Drosophila melanogaster: one gene and its partners. The protein of the gene in region 2 interacts with the protein of the main gene of each other region in a pairwise test. Each region holds a gene or a part of one and is shown on either strand. Other genes may lie near its edges.

Region 1 (3,994 bases), on a different chromosome or scaffold from region 2:
GCTGCTGCAGAGAAGAGAGAATTTGTTGCTAACTGAGTGCTGCATTGTATTATTTATCTTATGCCACACCAACCACAACACATTCGCACACACACATACACACACACTAAGGCACAAACACCTCGACGACGCCAAAGAAAATTTTCTTTCGTGTGACGCCACTCTTTTCCTTTCTCTGCCTTTCACAATTTAAACTTGAGCACTGGCTTTGGGACACACGGCTAACGGGAAAATTCACTAATGTAACCCCTGTAATTGTTGTTCCGAAAATTCAAGGCATATAGAAAACAACAACAACAACAAGAGCAGGAGTAGCAGGATATTCGGTTGCGGGCGAATGGGTAACGGGGGTGGCGAAATGCGAATCAAGGCGCAAAGCGGAATTCACCGTTAGCCTCGAACGTGGGAGCGCGCACAGCAACAACTGAGCGACAAAAACGGAAACAAAGGAGCCAGCAGCTTTGTAACTGACGGCCAGGATTGCCACCCCGCGCAATGAACTAAGGATTGAAATCATATGTGTTGCATGAATCCCCAAAAATTAATTTCGTTTCTAGTTAGTTTTATTAGTATACTCTGATTTCATATGTTTAATTAGCATTACTTAATATGCTTATATGGTATACCTAAAAAAATATGTCGACTAAGAAACTCTTTATTCGCAACATTTGGCACTGAAGCCTCTAAGTAAACCAATTCCTTAGAAGCCTGGCAACGCCAACAGCTGATGGGGATTTACCAAACGGAATCAAGAGAGATGATCAAACAGCGCATGCGCCAAAAAGGCGCACTTTCAAAATACCAAATTTATGAATACAAATCTTAAAATAACAAAAGTAATTCTTTAAAGTACTATATTCATTGTAAAAAAAAGTGTACATTTGTATTAAATAGAGTATATATATAAAATAAGGAGTTAAAACCTATTCTTAAGATCTGTGAAACGTTAATCTACTTCGCTTTGAAAAACGATGCGATGCTTTTAGTGCCCTTGGCTCCTTTGGCCAGGGCCTTCTCCTTGGCGGTCAGCGAGCGCTCCTTCAGAGGCGCCGCTGTGGGCGATGTGATGGTGGCATTGGGATCGCCATCGCTGTCCACTAGACCGCTGGACTTTAGCTTGGCAGCAGCATCGCTCTCATTTAGCTTGATCTTCTTGGAGTCGCTGCCCTCGTTCTTGCCCGCCACCGACTTGCGCTTCTGAGAAGCTGCTTTCTCCTCAACAATCGCCTGAATCTCGCTAGGAATGTGCAGGTAACTGGTGAGCAAGCCGTGCAGATCCGCATCCAAATACCGTCCCACATAATCGCAAGCCATGCGCGTGTAGTCCATTTCGTTGCTAACGTTCTCAGCTACCAGTTTCTCGCTTCGCACGAAATTCTGCGACTGCGCACTGTGGCCGCAGTGGACTTGCTTCTCCTTCAGGATCTTCGCCACCTGGCGCGTCTTCAGAGCCAACCAAGCCAATGTGCGCTCTTGGTTGTACTTGTAGAACTTCTGTTCGCCAGAGCTCTTCACATCTGCCACGCATTTAAGGTTCCCTGGGTCGAGGATCTCGTTAAGCAGACGACTGGTGCTGGCCTCCTCCACGGCAATGTTGTCCAGCGATATTGCTCCTGATTGTGGTTAAAGATTTTCAAGAATACAATAGTATAGTATACCATCGAAAGCGAATGATAATATCTTACTTTGCGCACAATGTTTTCGGAGGTGATGAAGAGCCAGGAACGTGGGATCCACGGGCGCGGTCATGTAGATTCTGCCGTTGGAGCAGACCTCGCTGTCCACGAACCAACTGCGTCGGGGTTCCGTGAACGCCACCAGCTCCATCATTCTGCCATCGGGATGGGTTATGAACAGTGCCTCCTTGCCATGTCCGGGATGGAAAAACATCTCCAGCCGAAGGTGTCCGTCGTCCGCATCTTTGGGCAGCAGTTCCTCCGACATGAAGAACACCTTCTTCAGTGCCGAGGCCTTGCACATCTTGGCAGATCCCTCCGCATCCGGATCAGCTTTTGGTTTTCTCGCTCGCGTTTCCTTTTTGCCCATTTTCTCGAATAACTTGCCAAGCGTGAAGCAAAAGTCAATAACTGTGGACCGAACCAAAACAAACGATTTGCCGCCTTTTTGGTTATTGATAGAAGTCTATCGATTAATTTTGGTATTTTATATAGTCTGCTAATTTTAACTTGTTCCTATAAACTATTTTATCTATTTTATGCCAAATAGAAGAGCTTAAAAATTAAATAATCTCTGCCACTAACGTCCGCATCTTAATATTGCAACTAGTCTAAAATGGGTATTAACTTTGATTGAGAAGCGCGGTCACATTGCTTGAACAGATGTTCACAGTGATGAAATTGTTTACAACAGTATATTGTTTTTAAACAACAAAATGAGCGTAGATATAGCCAGCACGATCAAGTTCCGGGATATTTGCAGCCTGTTCGAGAAGATTAAGGCCACGCAAAAGGTGGCTAACAAGGAGGAGGTCCTCAAGAGCTACTACGAGTCCTTCTGTCGCCACCGCGAATCCTTTCGCCGGCAAACCGGATTAAACAACGACCAGCCGGAGGACGGTGCCAGTAGCTTCTATTCCGTGCTGCGACTGCTGCTTCCGGGTGCGGACACTGGTCGGGATACCTATGGATTGCAGATCACCGCGCTGGGCAGGCTCTACATCAGGGTGCTCCAGCTACCCACGGACTGTGAGTGCAGAAACGTATTGGCAATGGCATTTAGGCTTATTTAGAATCTCTTTGTTGTCTCTACTAGCCAGCGATGCCATCAGGCTGCAGCACCGCAACGGAAACATGTACCGGGACTACGGTGATGTTGTTTATTCCGTGCTTAAGCCAAGGTGCTTTAATCCGCCCAGCAATTTGAGACTGAAAGAAATCCATCAGATGCTGGACACCATTGCCAACGAGGACACAGAAGGTGGGCGCTTTTAAACTGATCTGAACGACTGAACGTCTTAATGAGACCGCTCTTTGCAGTTAAGCAGCAGCAACTCATCCGGTTTACGGAGCAGGCCTCGCCTGAGGAACAGAAGTGGCTAATTCGGTTGCTGCTTAAGAGCCTCGGGCTGGGGATCGGTGAGCAAAAGATTTTCGGTGTGCTGCACCCCAAGGCGCAGGATATCTACCAGCGCTGCTCCGATCTGGGACATGTGTGCAATCTGCTGGCAGACCGAACCACCGACCTAGACGCCAGCAGCAGCAAGGACAGCAAGGCGGCGGTCAAGTTTGTAAACCTGAATTCCGTCATACGGCCATTCCACCAGATACGTCCCATGCTGTGCGAACGATTCCCCGGTGACATCCAGGAGCTGATGCAGTCGGATGTGCTCTATCTGGAGACCAAAATGGATGGCGAACGCTTTCAGCTGCACATCGATCGGGGTCGTTTCATGTACATTTCCCGCAATGGAGTGGACTACACCAGAAACTTTGGTCACAGCTACGATCACGGCACCTTAACGCCAAAGCTGAGGGGACTTCTGCCGCTGGGTCTGGAGTCTATCATACTCGACGGCGAGATGATGGTGTGGGATACCAACAAACTGCGCTTTCGGGAAAAAGGCGAGAATACGGACGTGAAGAGCCTGAAGCCGGAGGGCAGCTGGCAGCCATGTTTCGTGGTGTACGATCTGCTATATTTTAATGGCCAGAGTCTGCTGGACCATACCTACATTCAGCGGGCGTACAAATTGCAGAAACTCATAGTTGAACAGTCGGGTGTGCTGCAGTTGATGCGTGCACGCAAAATCGGTTCCGTTCAAGAGTTCAACGAGCTGTTCCAGCAGGCACTCGACTCCCACGCCGAGGGCATTGTGCTAAAGAAGCAGGGATCAAGATATCAGCCTGGCGTTAGACTGGGCGGTGGGTGGTACAAGGACAAGGCTGATGTGAGTAGAGTCATTTTTAAGTAGAGTGCTTTAATATGAACTCACTTCAATTTTCCAACCAGTACATCAAAGGGCTGATCACCGAGT
Region 2 (4,597 bases):
CCATTTAGGTGTTGAAATTATAGATAATGCGATCCTTTACTTAATAACAGCTAGATTCGTAAATAGCATTACAATTTATATGAGAACCACCCAAAATTCGGATCTTATATGTATATTCAAACCGATCTTAAGCGTATTCAAGCACATTAGCTCATTTGTTTGTTGGTTTGTTTTTTTAAACGGGTTTTCGTGTGGGAATGAGAACTAGAATTCGATGTGCGACCAGCTTGGAAATTGCGCAACTTTACAAAGATAGCTGAGTCTACTCACGAGTGGATGGCCAAGACCTCCCATTGATCGATCAGGTGCATTTTGGCCAAGACAAAGGAAGTACTGCTTATCAATCGAAGATCTACGACTTTGCTGAAGTGGAGTGACAAATCGAACTGAGTTAAGATTGACAAAAGTTATAAAGCACTGATCTTGATTGGAAGCTTTCATTTGATGCCCCATGCGCGTTGTTATTGCGGCCGCAAGATTTCCATTTATAGAATACTACGCACTTCAATTAATGAAACAGTCATAATTAAATTAAACAGTCGCCAGCACGAGTCGTATAACAATAGGGCTTTCAAACAGCCCGAGATTACGCAGATACATAGTATGTACGTACATATATGTATATGTGGTATGTAAATACGCTCCATGTGCGCAGGGTGCTATTTACAGAGTAACTCGAGACCATGTCGTCATATAGATTACTCGCTTTATCAATGCAGCCTCCCGTTTTAGTTTTATTGCATTCTCATTGTAGTCCACAAAAGTTTCCACTGCACAGCCATATAAATATGAATATATATATATATATATATATATATATATATATAAACATGCATATATGAGGTGGTGGTACTCGAAGAATACATACTGTATGTTTCATGTGCAAATTGAACTAGCAGGTCAGGCGAGGACATATTGGGGCCATCGGGCCGCGATACAGACACATTCTTTGTGGATGCAATCTGCTGCACTTTTGCAGCTTCCACTGGGCCTGTCATCCGTCATCTGGCCACCGAGATCTGGGGATTGGAGTGAGTGGTCTCGTGTTCACTTCCAATTACACTCAATTACCAAAGTCCGTGTCCCAGCAACTCTGATCTCAATTGCTGAAAGGCTGGGAGTTATTTTTGGACCACCGAACCCCTTCCAGGGAATGGGTCAGGTGAATCACTGCTCCAACTATGTGCGGACCATTAGAAGTGGGGCACTCACAGTGCAGCAAGTGCAGCTCGGATCCTCCGGGCAAAGTGTATGTGGCGTATGGGATAGTCCCAATTCTGATTGCTGAGCACGCGGCCAATCAGTCAGCGGGCCATCAATCAACTGATCGCAAACTTAACGCCTGTGCGCCGCTTGATTAATTTAATCATGTGTGATTTGCGACTGTTTGGTTTTTTTTTTGCGAACGTAAACAGCAAATAAATAAATATCGGAGTCTATAGTGAAGGGGATAGTGGATATAATGGCGTTGGAAATTCGATAGCCAGATAGCTAGTTTGTTTAGTTGTTGTACATGCTGGAAAAGTCAACAAACGAAATCGAGAAGGTAAACAAATACATTGTTAGTTGTTAGACAATAACAGAATTAATTGCACAGACCTCACGTAAGTTTTCCTATTATTAGCAGTTCATTTGAAATTCAGATTATCATAATCCTACGTTCGCTGTGTTCTTAAGTTTATGAATTGATCTTGTTCAAATTAGATTCGATTGTTCGTTGTGTGTTCTAAAAAGTAGTTTAATCTGGTTGCGAAACTGGTATTATGAAGATTTCGAAAATATTTCATGCGAAATTAATTTGGATCTAAGCACAAGGATGTTTATTTTTGTAAATGTAAATGTACTGGTATTAAGTATATCATATTATCATACAATTGAAATACATAAATATAATTGTATGTATATCTACGATTCTGCAATATGCTTAATTATTGTTATCATCGTTTTTCCGAGTCCCTGATTACACTTAGCGATATTTGAAGTGCGTTTCAGGGGCGCCAAAGTGCATTGACCAACTTCAATATCAACAACTCGTTGCTGGGAAATAAATATTTGCCCGAAAGTTATTACACGGCCTCAAGCGCTTTGCTGTTGACCAAGAGGCAACAATAAAAAAAAAAGGCCAGGGCCGGATTTTTCAGGCTGCGGACTTTGTTCTTTTGTCGGAAAATGGAAATGAAAAATGGGGTCAGTTCAGGTCAGCACGACAGGATGACGGGGCCACAGAAAATCAATTTACGTGGGCAAGTGCTGGAAAAACCCCCTTTCGGTGGAAACTCCGCCCCTGGCCAACTTAATTGCGGTTTGTTAAGTGGAAAAGCAAAGAAAGAGAAGGTGGACTACAACTTTCAACGGGAAAATTCCTATACACATACTTTATAGGTAATATTAGCGAGAAAACAGAATAAAAACTCACCTTGCTAGTTTTATCAAGGCCATTTCTGTTTTTCGATTTGACTGACGTTTCTCTGATTTTTCTTCTTTTTTTTTTTGGCAGGAGCTACTATTTATGCTATTCGAAATTCGTCGGCTTATTTATTTATCTCCCTATTCCCCTTATTTTTTGCGATTTTGGCAGTGCAAGTAACGGTAAACTAGGAAGAAGTTGAGCGAGCCGAATTCCTTTTGTTGTCTGCTCACTCACACGCACATGCCGACACACAAACAAACGCGCGCGCACACAATCGAATTTATTTCAGCCGGCACAACAAAAACACTGCGCTTTTTCGATACTTACGTTCTGCTTTCTGCTTGTTATTTAGCTATTTATTTAACTCGTTTTTTTTTTACATATTCCCGCACGCACACTGGGTTTTTTCTCTTTGTTTTTTTGTACAGCCTTTCAGTCAAGTGCATTTGGCGATTGATGAAATTGCAACTGCAAATGCACTATCCGCCAAGCCGAGTATTTGACCGGTCAATAGAGATGCACTCCTGGTATTTGCATATTTTGCGTGCCTGTCGGTATATTCTCGTATAGCTGCGCTTGCAGTCCGCATCTAATATTCGGTAGTAACTCGCTCGGCGTCCGTTCACAAATGCAGCGGCATTGAATCGGCGAAATATATCAACCAAATTGCGATATATCGATTTCAGGCGACGAACAGCTGTTGCATCCGAGCTTCGAACCTTTTCATAATATTCAACACGCAGTTGAGCTTCCAACCAATTGGGTTACGTTCTCAGCCGCAATGGCGCTTTACAGTACAGAAACATAGTTTTCCTAACAGAAATGTTAAGTTGAAACGTAGAATAGAAGTTGATTTTTGAAAAAAGTTCTGGCATTTGACACGTATTGTATTTTCTCATTATAATAACAACAAACCATTAAACCAAAATGTGGGAGCAGCTAGCGAGATATCGCAATCACTTTCTGCAACACGAAATCAAGGATGTGATGAAGCCGACCTCCATAAACAGCTTGCAGACTACGGGTAATTTAGTTGCGATATATAATCAGCGAAGGATAATCATAAAAAAAATGGATTACAGAGTGGACGCATCATATGGAGAAACGGAATATTTGCAAGTGTATGCCGCTCTGCTGCAATTCGACCTCGACGCACCTGGCGGATCGTGCTGAACTGGCCTACGGCTGGTTTGCACTGCCCAAATTGCTCAAAGAACTGGATAGTGATGTTAGGCTGACCCATTGGAAGGCAGTCGTATCGTTGTCGGAATTCGTTCTAAATCCACTGAATGCCCAAAGAGCTATCATTGAAATGGACCTTGTTAGAAAGTGGGTTGTCTGCATTGAGGAGTTTTTTTTTTTTGATATCATCCAGTTTCTATCCTACCAATAGGTTGAAGAATGCCTTTATGCGTATGAGATTGAAGCATCACAAGGAGGAGCACCGGGAGGTGGAGATGTATCTAAGGATTTATAGTAAGTTGAAGGTTGTGTGAATTCTTAGAATAAGCTTTTATTTCTTAAAGATATACTATCCCGCAATTTGGATGGAGCCGAAAATATAGCCAACCGCAAGTGCTTAAGGGTGGAGTTTTATAAAATCATTAAGAACCAAGAGCCTATTAAGGATGAATTGGCTTCAGAGATATTGCGAAATTTGACATGCAAGCCAAAAGGTGAGCTCTGCATGCACTTCATTGGATTTAACGGTGTTATATTTTTTCCTAGTTCTGGGTATATTCCTGGAGGATCCTGAAAACTTTTCCGCCTTAGCCGAGATCTTCAGACAGGATCCATGCCGTCCGCAATTCCCGTTGCATTTGTGGCATCACCTGTGTGACATGCTGGAAGTGGCACCCGATCGGGGCATCGAGCTGGGCCTCTTCGAGCTGCTGCACTCGAGGATCCTAAACCGCTTGTCCAACTTCTGGGACATGAACACCAAGGCATTTGCGCTGCTACTCTGCTGTGCTGAGGGTCAGCGGCGTTTCGATGCCGTGGATGGTGTAAAGCTGCTTTACGACGTCTTTGCCCAGCCCGATGAGAATCCGCGAATGTTGCTGCCTCGCCAGAAGGTGGAGAACTGGGAATATACGGCTTTGGCCCTGCTCAATGGGCTCCATAGCAAGCGGGCATTGTGGCGCAGCAGGGAGTTCACCCAACTGCCGTGTTATGTGGGTCGTCTCA
Region 3 (4,726 bases), on a different chromosome or scaffold from region 2:
GGATGAAGCCCACCCAAGTGCGCGACAGCTGCACATCGCCGCTACCGAAGATTATGCCATCACTTTGGCAAGTAAGCTTAAAGTTGCCCGGCAGCATTTCGTACACTTTGCATTTTTTCAACGGAAAAATACAGCAACACTCCAGTGAGTTTTCCACAACGGTGTTGGGCGCACGTTCCTTGATCATCTTGCAGTACATGAAGATGTCGGACATGAGAACACAGTAGCGCTTGATTTCCGTGCCCTTGTGAGTGATCTTCTGCAGTACACCCTCCTTGATTACCCGTCGCGAGGGCTTCACAATGTTCGGTGTGCGATTCACCAAAGAGTTCTGCAAATGAATCAGATACTGGGTAATTTCCTGCTCCTCCACACAGGTGTTTATGTGACTGGCGGTGGCCTCGATCTCCTTGACGGATTCTGTAAGGATGAGCGCAATTATTCGATATCTGATTAACATTAACTTCAAGATCATACCTTTCAACAACTTATAGTCAGCATCTGCGGGACTCGTGTAGAGCAGTACCTGCTCCAGAAGAAGCTTATACCGCGGTACCCGCTGGATGGGCACAATCATCAGCGAATTTAGCTTGCGTTGCACCTCCGGACGACTCTCGGTCTGCTCCAGAAACTTTCGGAACACCGGATTCTTGCTGATCAAATCCTGGATGATGAACAGAGCTCCGCGGTAGTCAAAGGCGTACACCGAGTACAGTTTGAAGAAAGGAGCCATTTTCAGGAATGCGTGCGCAACATTCTCCATGTTCGCCTCCAGTTCGCGCAGGAATTCTCCGTTAAGATTGTGAATCATCTCGATTTGACCGAAGAGCAGCGTGTGATTGGAGCAATCGATGATAGCCTGTTCCTTCAAGGGACGCACAAAAAAGTTCATCAGCAGCTCCAGCTGCTCCAGATACGATTTCTCCGACGAAATAATCTCCTGGATGGCCTGGCGACGGAAACCCAATCTTTTTCCCGCGTCCGGATTGGGGGAGCCAATCGGACTGCTGTTGTTGCTGTCCAGCATGGAGCAAACTGCATGAACCGAATGGTCACAATTAGTTGTTGAACACCTGGCGCCGCCTTTGTGTGCTGCTCACCTTTCCTACGCGACTTGGCAGTTAGAAGATTCCGCTCCTGCAGCACCTGCCGCAGTTCCCGGCTGAAGCTGAGAGGTGTTTGTGGCGAGTGAATGAAGCCATTCCCGTATCCTTTCTGCCTGGGCGTAAACATTTTCCAATCGACTTTCTGGAAAGAAGATCCAAAAAGAAAACGACGCCACACCTGTTCAATTTGAACAATGCCGCTTCTGCAGTGTTACCGTTTGTTAGTGGCAGCCACACTGGAAAGTGTAAGACCGCATTGGCGAGGGGAGATTGAAGAATAAGAAAAAGTTAAGCAAACTATAATATAATCTTGTCTATTTTTGTAGCTTTCTATTCATCTTGGCTGTGGTTATTATAGATCTTATAAAAATTGTAATATTAAATTAATTTCATTTAAAACTTTTGTGCCCGCGTATGCGTTGCACCAGTCTAGCCTATTGTATTGCGACATGGTCACACTGGCTAAATTATTTATTTTTTATACGTGGTTCGTGGCCCGTTTAGCTTTTAATTTAAATGTTGTTTTAGCTATTGCTGCACCGAAATGCATGCAGAACTCAGCGAAATGGAGTTGCGCATAGTGGCGCGACTAAACGAGGAGATCGGAAAGGATGCCAGCCAGCTACACCGGGCCAGCCACCTCGTTAGCCACTACAAAAAGCACCTCCAAGTTTTGTCCCAAACGGTTGGACGAATATCTATCTATCTAGATCATGATTTTGATCCATATATTTCAACAGCTCGACTACGAGGATCCCCAGAACGTGTCCTGCTACAAAACCGCCTTCCAATGCCAGCAACAGGTTTGCGAGAGCATCGACTTCGAGCTGGAAAAGCTGGCTCACTTCGAGGACAAGCTGAAAAGAAAGCTAAAGGAGTGCCAGCCCGTGCTTGAGGGAGTGGCAGAGGATTTAGACAAGGTGCGACAACTGCAGCGTTTGCAACAGTATCTGCTCCTGGTGCAGGACATTCAGGAGATAAGCGCTGCCCTAGGCAATGCCATCAATGGCAAGGACGAGGACAAACTGGTTAATATCTACCTAACCCTCTACGAGGGCAACGACTGCGAGCACAGCGTAGTGGGTCGCCTGCATGCTGTGCAGGCACAGTCGCTGAAATCCTTTGCCGAACGCACTGCCATCTACTGGCACAAGCTGCTCCTCAAGCGCCTGTCCAGCGCATTCGAGGCTGTACTGAAGAGCATGCGCTGGGCGCATCTAGAACAGCAGGCCCTTAACTATTCGTCCGCACGAGACACTGCCAAGGCGCAACTGCTAGCGGAGTACATGTTCCTCATCAAATCTCCAGCCGAAGAGCGGGCGCCACTGCAAAGCATCACGCCCAGCATCGTGTGCCAGCCCATCAACCGGGTGGTGCAGCTCCTATTGGCGCCGTATCGCCAGCGTTTCCAATTTCACTTCACAGGCACCAGACAAACCAATAGATTAGACAAGCCCGAGTGGTTCTATACGCAAATTCTCAACTGGGGCAAGGAGACGCATTTCTTTGTAGGCAAAACATTTCAGCCAGCTGCCATTAAAGCGGGTAAGCTGGACTACAATCTCAGGGTAAGTGTCTCGGTGTCTTACCAGACCACTCAAAATTCTAATTGTGTTACTCTTTTAGCTGGAGTTTATTCGAGGACTGGTGCAGTTAGCCATTGAAAAGTTGGCGGTGGACATAGAACAGATTGCCCAGGACCAGATACTATTTGCCCATCTACTTGATGAGACGCTGGCCTTCGAATCCGAGTTACGGGAAACATTTGGGTATCCGGCTAGTTTTCCCAGCGCGATTTCTGTAATCACACAACCCATGTATTTGCTACGCTGGATTTCACTGGAAGAACGATGTGAGATATGGTCGCTGCCCTCGATTGCTGTTATTTAATAATGTGCTTACCTAGTTTGTGCGGAAAAAATGGATGACATTCTGCAGGCGGAGACGCCATTCCAGCTAATCGATCCCAACTCATTCGAGAACGATCTGAAAATACCCAAGTGTGCGGATCAGTTTATGCGACTGCTGGACGCCATTAAGGATCGTTACTATGGTCTGATTCAACCGGGCCACCAGCTGCAGTTCCTGCACCTGCAACTGGAGCTGATCGATAGCTTCCGACAACGCCTGGTGCAACTGCACAGCAGTGGAGCGGTGCCAAGCATTCCCATACTGAATGCCATCAACTATTTGGTAATGGTGCTCCGTGAATGGGGCGAAAACGTGCATTATCTGCACCTGCATGCGGCACTTGCCGGTCCAAATGCCACGGAGATTAATTCAGTGTTCGAGCATGCCGTCGCTGAGTTGGAACACTGGGCCAGACAACTAATGCGGAATCTGGCCACCAAGGCAACCAATGAAATGAAGGCGAAATCGATGAGCTATCGCCGTGACGCGTGGCCGACTATGCCCGAACAAAACAGCCGGGAGCCGTTCATCCTTTCGCCCAGTGGTGGCGAAATGTTCCAGGTGCTGGTCACCCTGCTACACAATCTGGAACGGGAACTCTCCGCCAATCTGTTCACCCAAACGCTCCGTTTGATAGCCCATCAAATCGATGACTTCATGCTCGAGAGCATGGTCATGAACACGAAGTTCTCAGCTGCGGGAGCAGCGCAATTCAATTATGACATGACACGCAATTTATTCGCGCTCTTTGGACAGTATACACGTCGTCCCGAGCTGCTCTTCAAGCGGTGAGTCATCTCTACATTTGCTATGGTGCACAATAAACATAAATCTGACACCTTTCATTTCCATTCGATTCGCCAGAACACACGATGCCTGCAAGCTGCTGGCGGCGGCACGAGGAACAGCTTTGTTGCTGCTGGAAACGCTGCGTGGTAATCAATCGGTGGAGGAGAAGACGAAGCCGCTGAGGGAACTGCATGTGCTCAGCATGGACAGCAAACAGTGCATTGAGGTTCTGGAGCGGAGGATGGACATAAAGATGTTTTAGGTGATGGAAATTAATTTAAGCTAGTTAATTGGGCCCTAGGAACTTTTGAAATGATATACAACGTTCGGACGCCGTTTTTTTGCGAAATAAAATCATTAACACCCAAAATGAAAGTTAAAAGATGTTTATCGTAATTTACATTCATTTTATTTGAAGAAAGGCATGTGTATAAACATAGTTATCATGACGGAGATTTAACTAATTTGTATTTAACCAGGACACAGTTTCGAACTCGTGCGAATGCTAGTAACAAACGACCAAGTTGTATGAATGAGATATAATTTTGAGTACATATTTACAATTAAATAGCAATTCGTTGCTCTAGGCGCACAAGTCTTGAATGTTTTTTGTGATAATTAAACATTTAGTTGGAATTGTGGTCTCAATGTTTGGTTTAATTTGTAAAACGTTGACACAAAAACATGCGGTAACTTTAACTTTAATAATAAATTGATCTAAAAATACATAGCGTAAAATAGCATATAAACCGGCCTGATCGGGCTCGAATCGCATATCAATACTGATTCATGGCTGATCAGGGCGTATTGTATATCCCTATCGTCGGATGACAAACAATTGCAGTTAGTAAATACCAATTTGCGACTCGAGACGCACATCACACATCATCATCACATCGTGGAACGGACCAAGGCGCATT
Region 4 (4,746 bases), on a different chromosome or scaffold from region 2:
AAAAAAAAAATATATTGTACATATCAATAATAGACTAATAGAGTAAAGAGCTCCAGTCGAATCGCAGCACAAACAAAAACAGCAAGAAAAACAACGACAGCGGCTAGAAAAACTTATTATTTGACGCATTGTCAATGTGATCTTGATAAGTCGAAACTGGAAATGGAACCTGAAGACTGAAAACTGAAAACTGAAAAAAAAAATAAACCTCCGTCTGAGTGATTTCTATTTAAATGGCTTTGTCAACGAAATTTGAGAAGCGAATAGCAACAACACCGCCAGTATCGCGTAATGAGCAAAGAGTGAAGAGAGATAAAAATTAATAATACAAATAATTGGTAGGCAAAAAAAAAAATTGGGAGAAAAAAAGTCAGTAAGTGCGTCCAAGTCCAAGAAACGCTGGATGAAATGAAATAAACTGAAACGAAATGAAACCTCACTTAAGGCGAGGCGACGCCACAAGAGATTGACAAAAGATGACGACAAAACAAAAAAAAAAAAAAGGCAACACCCGATCTCCCAGGTACGAGCATATATATCCATACCCATGCCAAGTGTGTGGGAGTTCGAGTTGATCGCAACCAAACCGATCCGAAAGATTTGGGGCGTGCTAGGGAAGCGGAACAATGGATACCGTTTCACAGTGAGCGAAAATATGCCCACATATTAAAATATAACTCAAAAACCACTATGGAATAGGCTAGAACTACTAGTATTGTTCAATACTTAATCAATAGTACAAAATATGGAATGCTAACATATTGATAAATACTATTAGTTGTAATATCTATCACATCATGTCCCACAAGCATATCGAACCAACGTACTTCCAATGAATTCTTGATCTAATGTTTAGCTATGCCATTGCTATGTGAATCTACAACTTCGAGTACTTTTTTTTTCAGTGCTTCCTAGAGCGAAATTCACTTATTCGCTGAGCTTTATGGATATCCGCGATAAGGTATCAAATGTGTCGCGACGCGATCTCGGCGACTTTCAATTCACAATCGACAACGCTGGGCGGATGTTGTGAATGAATGAATTGGCATTGGAAGATTGGTACATTGAGGTATTGTGATACTATGGGGATCTAGGCAGGGCCAGCAAGCACAAGCGTGGGTGGGACCGAATAGATCCCAAGAGATCCCCACCAGCTTCACCAGCTACACCAACTGCACGAACTCCGTATCCGAATCTGAAGCCGAATCCGAATCCCATTCTCAACACTTTGATTCGAATGGAGAAAGACTATCGGAATGGGAGAAAAATGAATCGACTTGCATATTTAATATTCAGTTGCTTTATGTTAGAAAACCATATGCAAATTAATAATAAAGCAGAACAACAAAGTAGCCAGCGAGGAGTCAACGTATTATTCAGATATTTTAATTTATAGCCGCCGCTTTGAAATTAGACGATCCGATCGCTAACATCGGGAAGTGGGAATGTGGTGATGTGGGGATGTTGGGAATATGTGTGAATAATGTGACCCGAACGGGTCCGTCGGCTGTCTTCTATTGTATCTAGTATTGATTTTCTTGGGGTTTCTTCGCCGTTGGCCCTATCATTTTGTTAGCCTTTTTTCTATATCACATTTCTCGTATCGATTTGGTCGGCTCTTGCTGGCTTCTTTTTGTTTTGCCTAATTAGGGGAGGCGGCCTTAATATGCCCATTAAAATTATGAAAATCATAACGAATCTCCGAAACGCGCATTTTCTCACATTACGATCAGCACATTAGTCATAGGCGGAAATTTCCTGACCGAAACCAGATTTTTAAAAAAAAGGCTCCATCATATCACGAAGAGCTGAAGGAACTGAAACAAAGTTTCGGGCATGGAATAGGTAACTCTATTGTTGGACTTGGGAGTCCCCGAAATCAATGAATAGTATTCCAATTAAAGACTTCTAAGATCCATTGAATCTGAAGCTAAATAAAGACTAGTATATGTGGCAAAATAATATCGGTTGATTATAGCATTTGGAAGAACATTTTAACCTTGTAAATATATGTAGAAGTGTAAGTGAAAAACAAAAGATCTGTCAAGTTCGGCTAATCGAAAATAGTGAACCAAACATATTATAACATATCTCTAAAGTCTGAGCTTTATAATGAAGAATGAAGATTGGCTCAAGAATAAAGTTGAAGCGATAACGAAAAAGAAAATAATTAAGCTTTACAGCGTGTTAGATCTTTCAATATTATTCCAAGTTTAAAGAGTGTATTTCAAATATGTCATAGATAATGTAAGACTTGTGACCTAATATCTCTGCTAAATAAACAAGTTGATAAGAGTAATCCCTAAGATAGATTCCCGCTCCCCCAAAAACTACTTAGGTCTACAGATTCCCCATGTAATCCGTGCTTATCTCTCGGCTCCACATTCCTTGCTGGATATATAGATTGCTACCGATTTCTCGATATCGGCGGATCGCACTCACCGAAAAAAAAACACAAACAAAACTAGAAGCAAAACGGTGCTGTATTCCAATGGTGACTTGTTTTCGGATCCAACTACTATATGGTTATGGCATGAGTATATTTTACACATGCATATATATAAAGATATATATGTATATTTATATATATATAAATATTGTATTCCAGAGATGTATGTTTTTTGGGCGATGTTTATGGTTTAGCACTGGCAACACGGTAAAAAAACAGATTCTCGTCACTTGGCACTGCGTTATATCCAAAAGGATATATCTCTCTGTATTACTTAGTATTCTCCTCTGGGGCTCTTTGTTTCTCTATAGCTGTGTTAGCTATAGCTTCTCGTGTTGATATTTGTTTATTTGTGTTTGATTGGTTTAGTTTGCTTCGATTTGATTTGATTCGGTTTGGCGACGGCGAATTGATTGTTGTTATTGGCTTGCGCTGGTGCTTGCTTGCTTATCGGCGAACGCGGCGAGTGGCGAGAGCGATCGAACGAGCGGCGAACGGGGCGAATGAGCAACTGAGCAACTGGGCGACGGACGACGCACAAAAACAACCCGAGCGGCACGAAAGTTACTCTGGAAATGAATTGCGGTACACCTTCCACGGACGATGGCAGCGGCGGCAGCAGCGCAGCGAGCAGCGGGCAGAGCAAAAGTCGTTCGACCAGAGTCTGCGAAAAAAGAAAAACAACAAGAAAAAATGTTGGAAGAAGAAGCAGGAAAAAAACAACAAACAAACACCAGCGGTGGTGGAAACGAGAGGGAGAGCGAGTGAGTGCCTGCTTTTAGCAATGGCTGCCCGGCTCTCTACCGCGCGCCAGAGTGAGATAGCCGTAGTTTCGCTCCGTTCCAGTCGTTCAGTATTTCGCTCTCTCTCTCTCTCTCACTCTCTTGCGGCATCTCTCTCGCACGCCGCTTACAACCTGACTGAGTGGGAGCGAGACAACTGCTGGTGGTACCGTTTGCTGAGCAGCTGTATTTACCGCTGTGTTGTTGCTGCTGCGCGTGTGTGTGCGCGCGTGTATGAGCGTGTGTGTACGTTGCTGGTGTGCGTTTGAGTGTGGGACCACACCCCAAAAAAATTCAGTTCAACAACTTTGTTGTTGCCACAAGAGCAAAAAACGAGGAGCAAAAAATACATAGTCATAAAAGGAGGAAAAAAAAGCAACAACGTACCTTCGTATTTTTGCGCGGCAGCAATGAAATTTTAATGAAAACGACAAGACAGCGAAAACAACGCAAAAATTTGTTAGCTAACAGCGAAAGATAAGGAAACGGGGGTAGGTGGCGACGGGCGTTTAAAGGACGCTGGTCAGTACCGCTACTTTTGCTACTGCTGCTGCTACTGCTGCTACTGCTTCTTCTTTAGCTTCCTCCTCTTCTACTTCTGCGTCGCAAATTGCCATGCACACACAACACCAGCGGCGAAAGCGCGACAGGGATGGGGAGAGCCAGCCACTCACACTTGGCACGCCCCCTCTCTTTCGCCCCAATGGGCGGCCCCCATTGTTCAATTATCATTTACGCAAAGTGAGGCGAAAAGAATCGAAACTTAAGGTGGATTTGGGTTTAAAGTCTAGTTTGCTATTCGTGGGCTAAGAATTGCTCAAAAGAGGTCTTTAATAAATGATTTCAATAGATATAGCTATTATAATTATGATTTAGTTTTGCAAAGCGGTTTTGTTAGTTTTAATTTTCAACTAGCTTATAATTATTAATTAGCTTATTTATAAATTCTCTACCATGGCAGTCTAACTGTAAATGATATTTTCGAGCAACCAACACTTTTTGTGCCCAAACATTTTTTTCTGTTATATTTTTGCCTTGTAGCTGACGCAGGAATAAAAATTCGCAGAGTTGGGTGGTTTGGGGGAGCAGCGGAAAAAACCTTATCAAATTTTTATGACAATTTGAAATAGCTGACGACAGTTGTTTGGCCATCTCACTCGCACTAACGGCCCGCAGGTTTGGGCGGCGAGAAAATGTTGCACAAATATTTTATGGATTTTTCTTGTTGAAATTGCTGTGTGCTTATTATTTTTTTTTTATCCAGCTACCGCACTTTTCCCATTTCCAGGCGGGCAAATTAAATTGTTGCGGCTAATTGATGTGTAGATGAAACATGAGGCAATTACCCTTCGAGGGGAAAAGCTTAGCGCACAAATTGGGACTCGGACACAACGAACGGGAAATCTCGAAAAAAAAATTGTACAGAGAGCCCGAAATGAAATAAAACAAAAACCTAATTTTCATGAAAAATGTTGCGGGGAAATGTAAAATGTTTTTGGAGTAAAATTCACGGAG

The links.
Region 1: the proteins of Snp (region 2) and CG11164 interact in a two-hybrid assay, tested with the Drosophila melanogaster proteins (one large-scale study listed by BioGRID).
Region 3: the proteins of Snp (region 2) and Rint1 interact in a two-hybrid assay, tested with the Drosophila melanogaster proteins (one large-scale study listed by BioGRID).
Region 4: the proteins of Snp (region 2) and oc interact in a two-hybrid assay, tested with the Drosophila melanogaster proteins (one large-scale study listed by BioGRID).

What each region holds. Positions count from the first base shown.
Region 1 is NC_004354.4:13,666,139-13,670,132, reverse strand, and holds CG11164 (uncharacterized protein), read right to left. Parts: upstream 2,120-3,994; 5' UTR 2,047-2,119; coding exon 1,686-2,046; intron 1,614-1,685; coding exon 952-1,613; 3' UTR 560-951; downstream 1-559. Other genes in the region: DNAlig4 (DNA ligase 4), read left to right, coding at 2,393-2,705, 2,773-2,937, 2,997-3,907, 3,970-3,994.
Region 2 is NT_033778.4:22,059,401-22,063,997, reverse strand, and holds the start of Snp (snipper), read right to left. Parts: upstream 3,049-4,597; 5' UTR 2,440-3,048; coding exon 2,417-2,439; intron 1-2,416. Other genes in the region: CG13501 (uncharacterized protein), read left to right, coding at 3,338-3,434, 3,493-3,739, 3,804-3,886, 3,937-4,086, 4,139-4,597. UniProt on the Drosophila melanogaster protein: A broad-specificity exonuclease, capable of degrading both structure-specific DNA and RNA targets without sequence specificity in vitro. Requires two to five unpaired nucleotides in the 3' region for efficient binding and nuclease activity.
Region 3 is NT_037436.4:7,322,078-7,326,803, forward strand, and holds Rint1 (RAD50 interactor 1), read left to right. Parts: upstream 1-1,541; 5' UTR 1,542-1,650; coding exon 1,651-1,791; intron 1,792-1,846; coding exon 1,847-2,674; intron 2,675-2,732; coding exon 2,733-2,958; intron 2,959-3,012; coding exon 3,013-3,805; intron 3,806-3,881; coding exon 3,882-4,068; 3' UTR 4,069-4,178; downstream 4,179-4,726. Other genes in the region: RhoGEF4 (Rho guanine nucleotide exchange factor 4), read right to left, coding at 1-420, 478-1,035, 1,101-1,233. UniProt on the Drosophila melanogaster protein: During cytokinesis in male meiotic cells, required for completion of cleavage furrow ingression possibly in conjunction with Zw10. Required for maintenance of Golgi stack number and morphology. Essential for acroblast assembly.
Region 4 is NC_004354.4:8,647,652-8,652,397, forward strand, and holds the start of oc (ocelliless), read right to left. Parts: upstream 3,031-4,746; 5' UTR 2,724-3,030; exon of another isoform or gene 2,443-2,723; intron 1-2,442. UniProt on the Drosophila melanogaster protein: Transcriptional regulator involved in pattern formation and cell determination in the embryonic CNS and larval imaginal disks.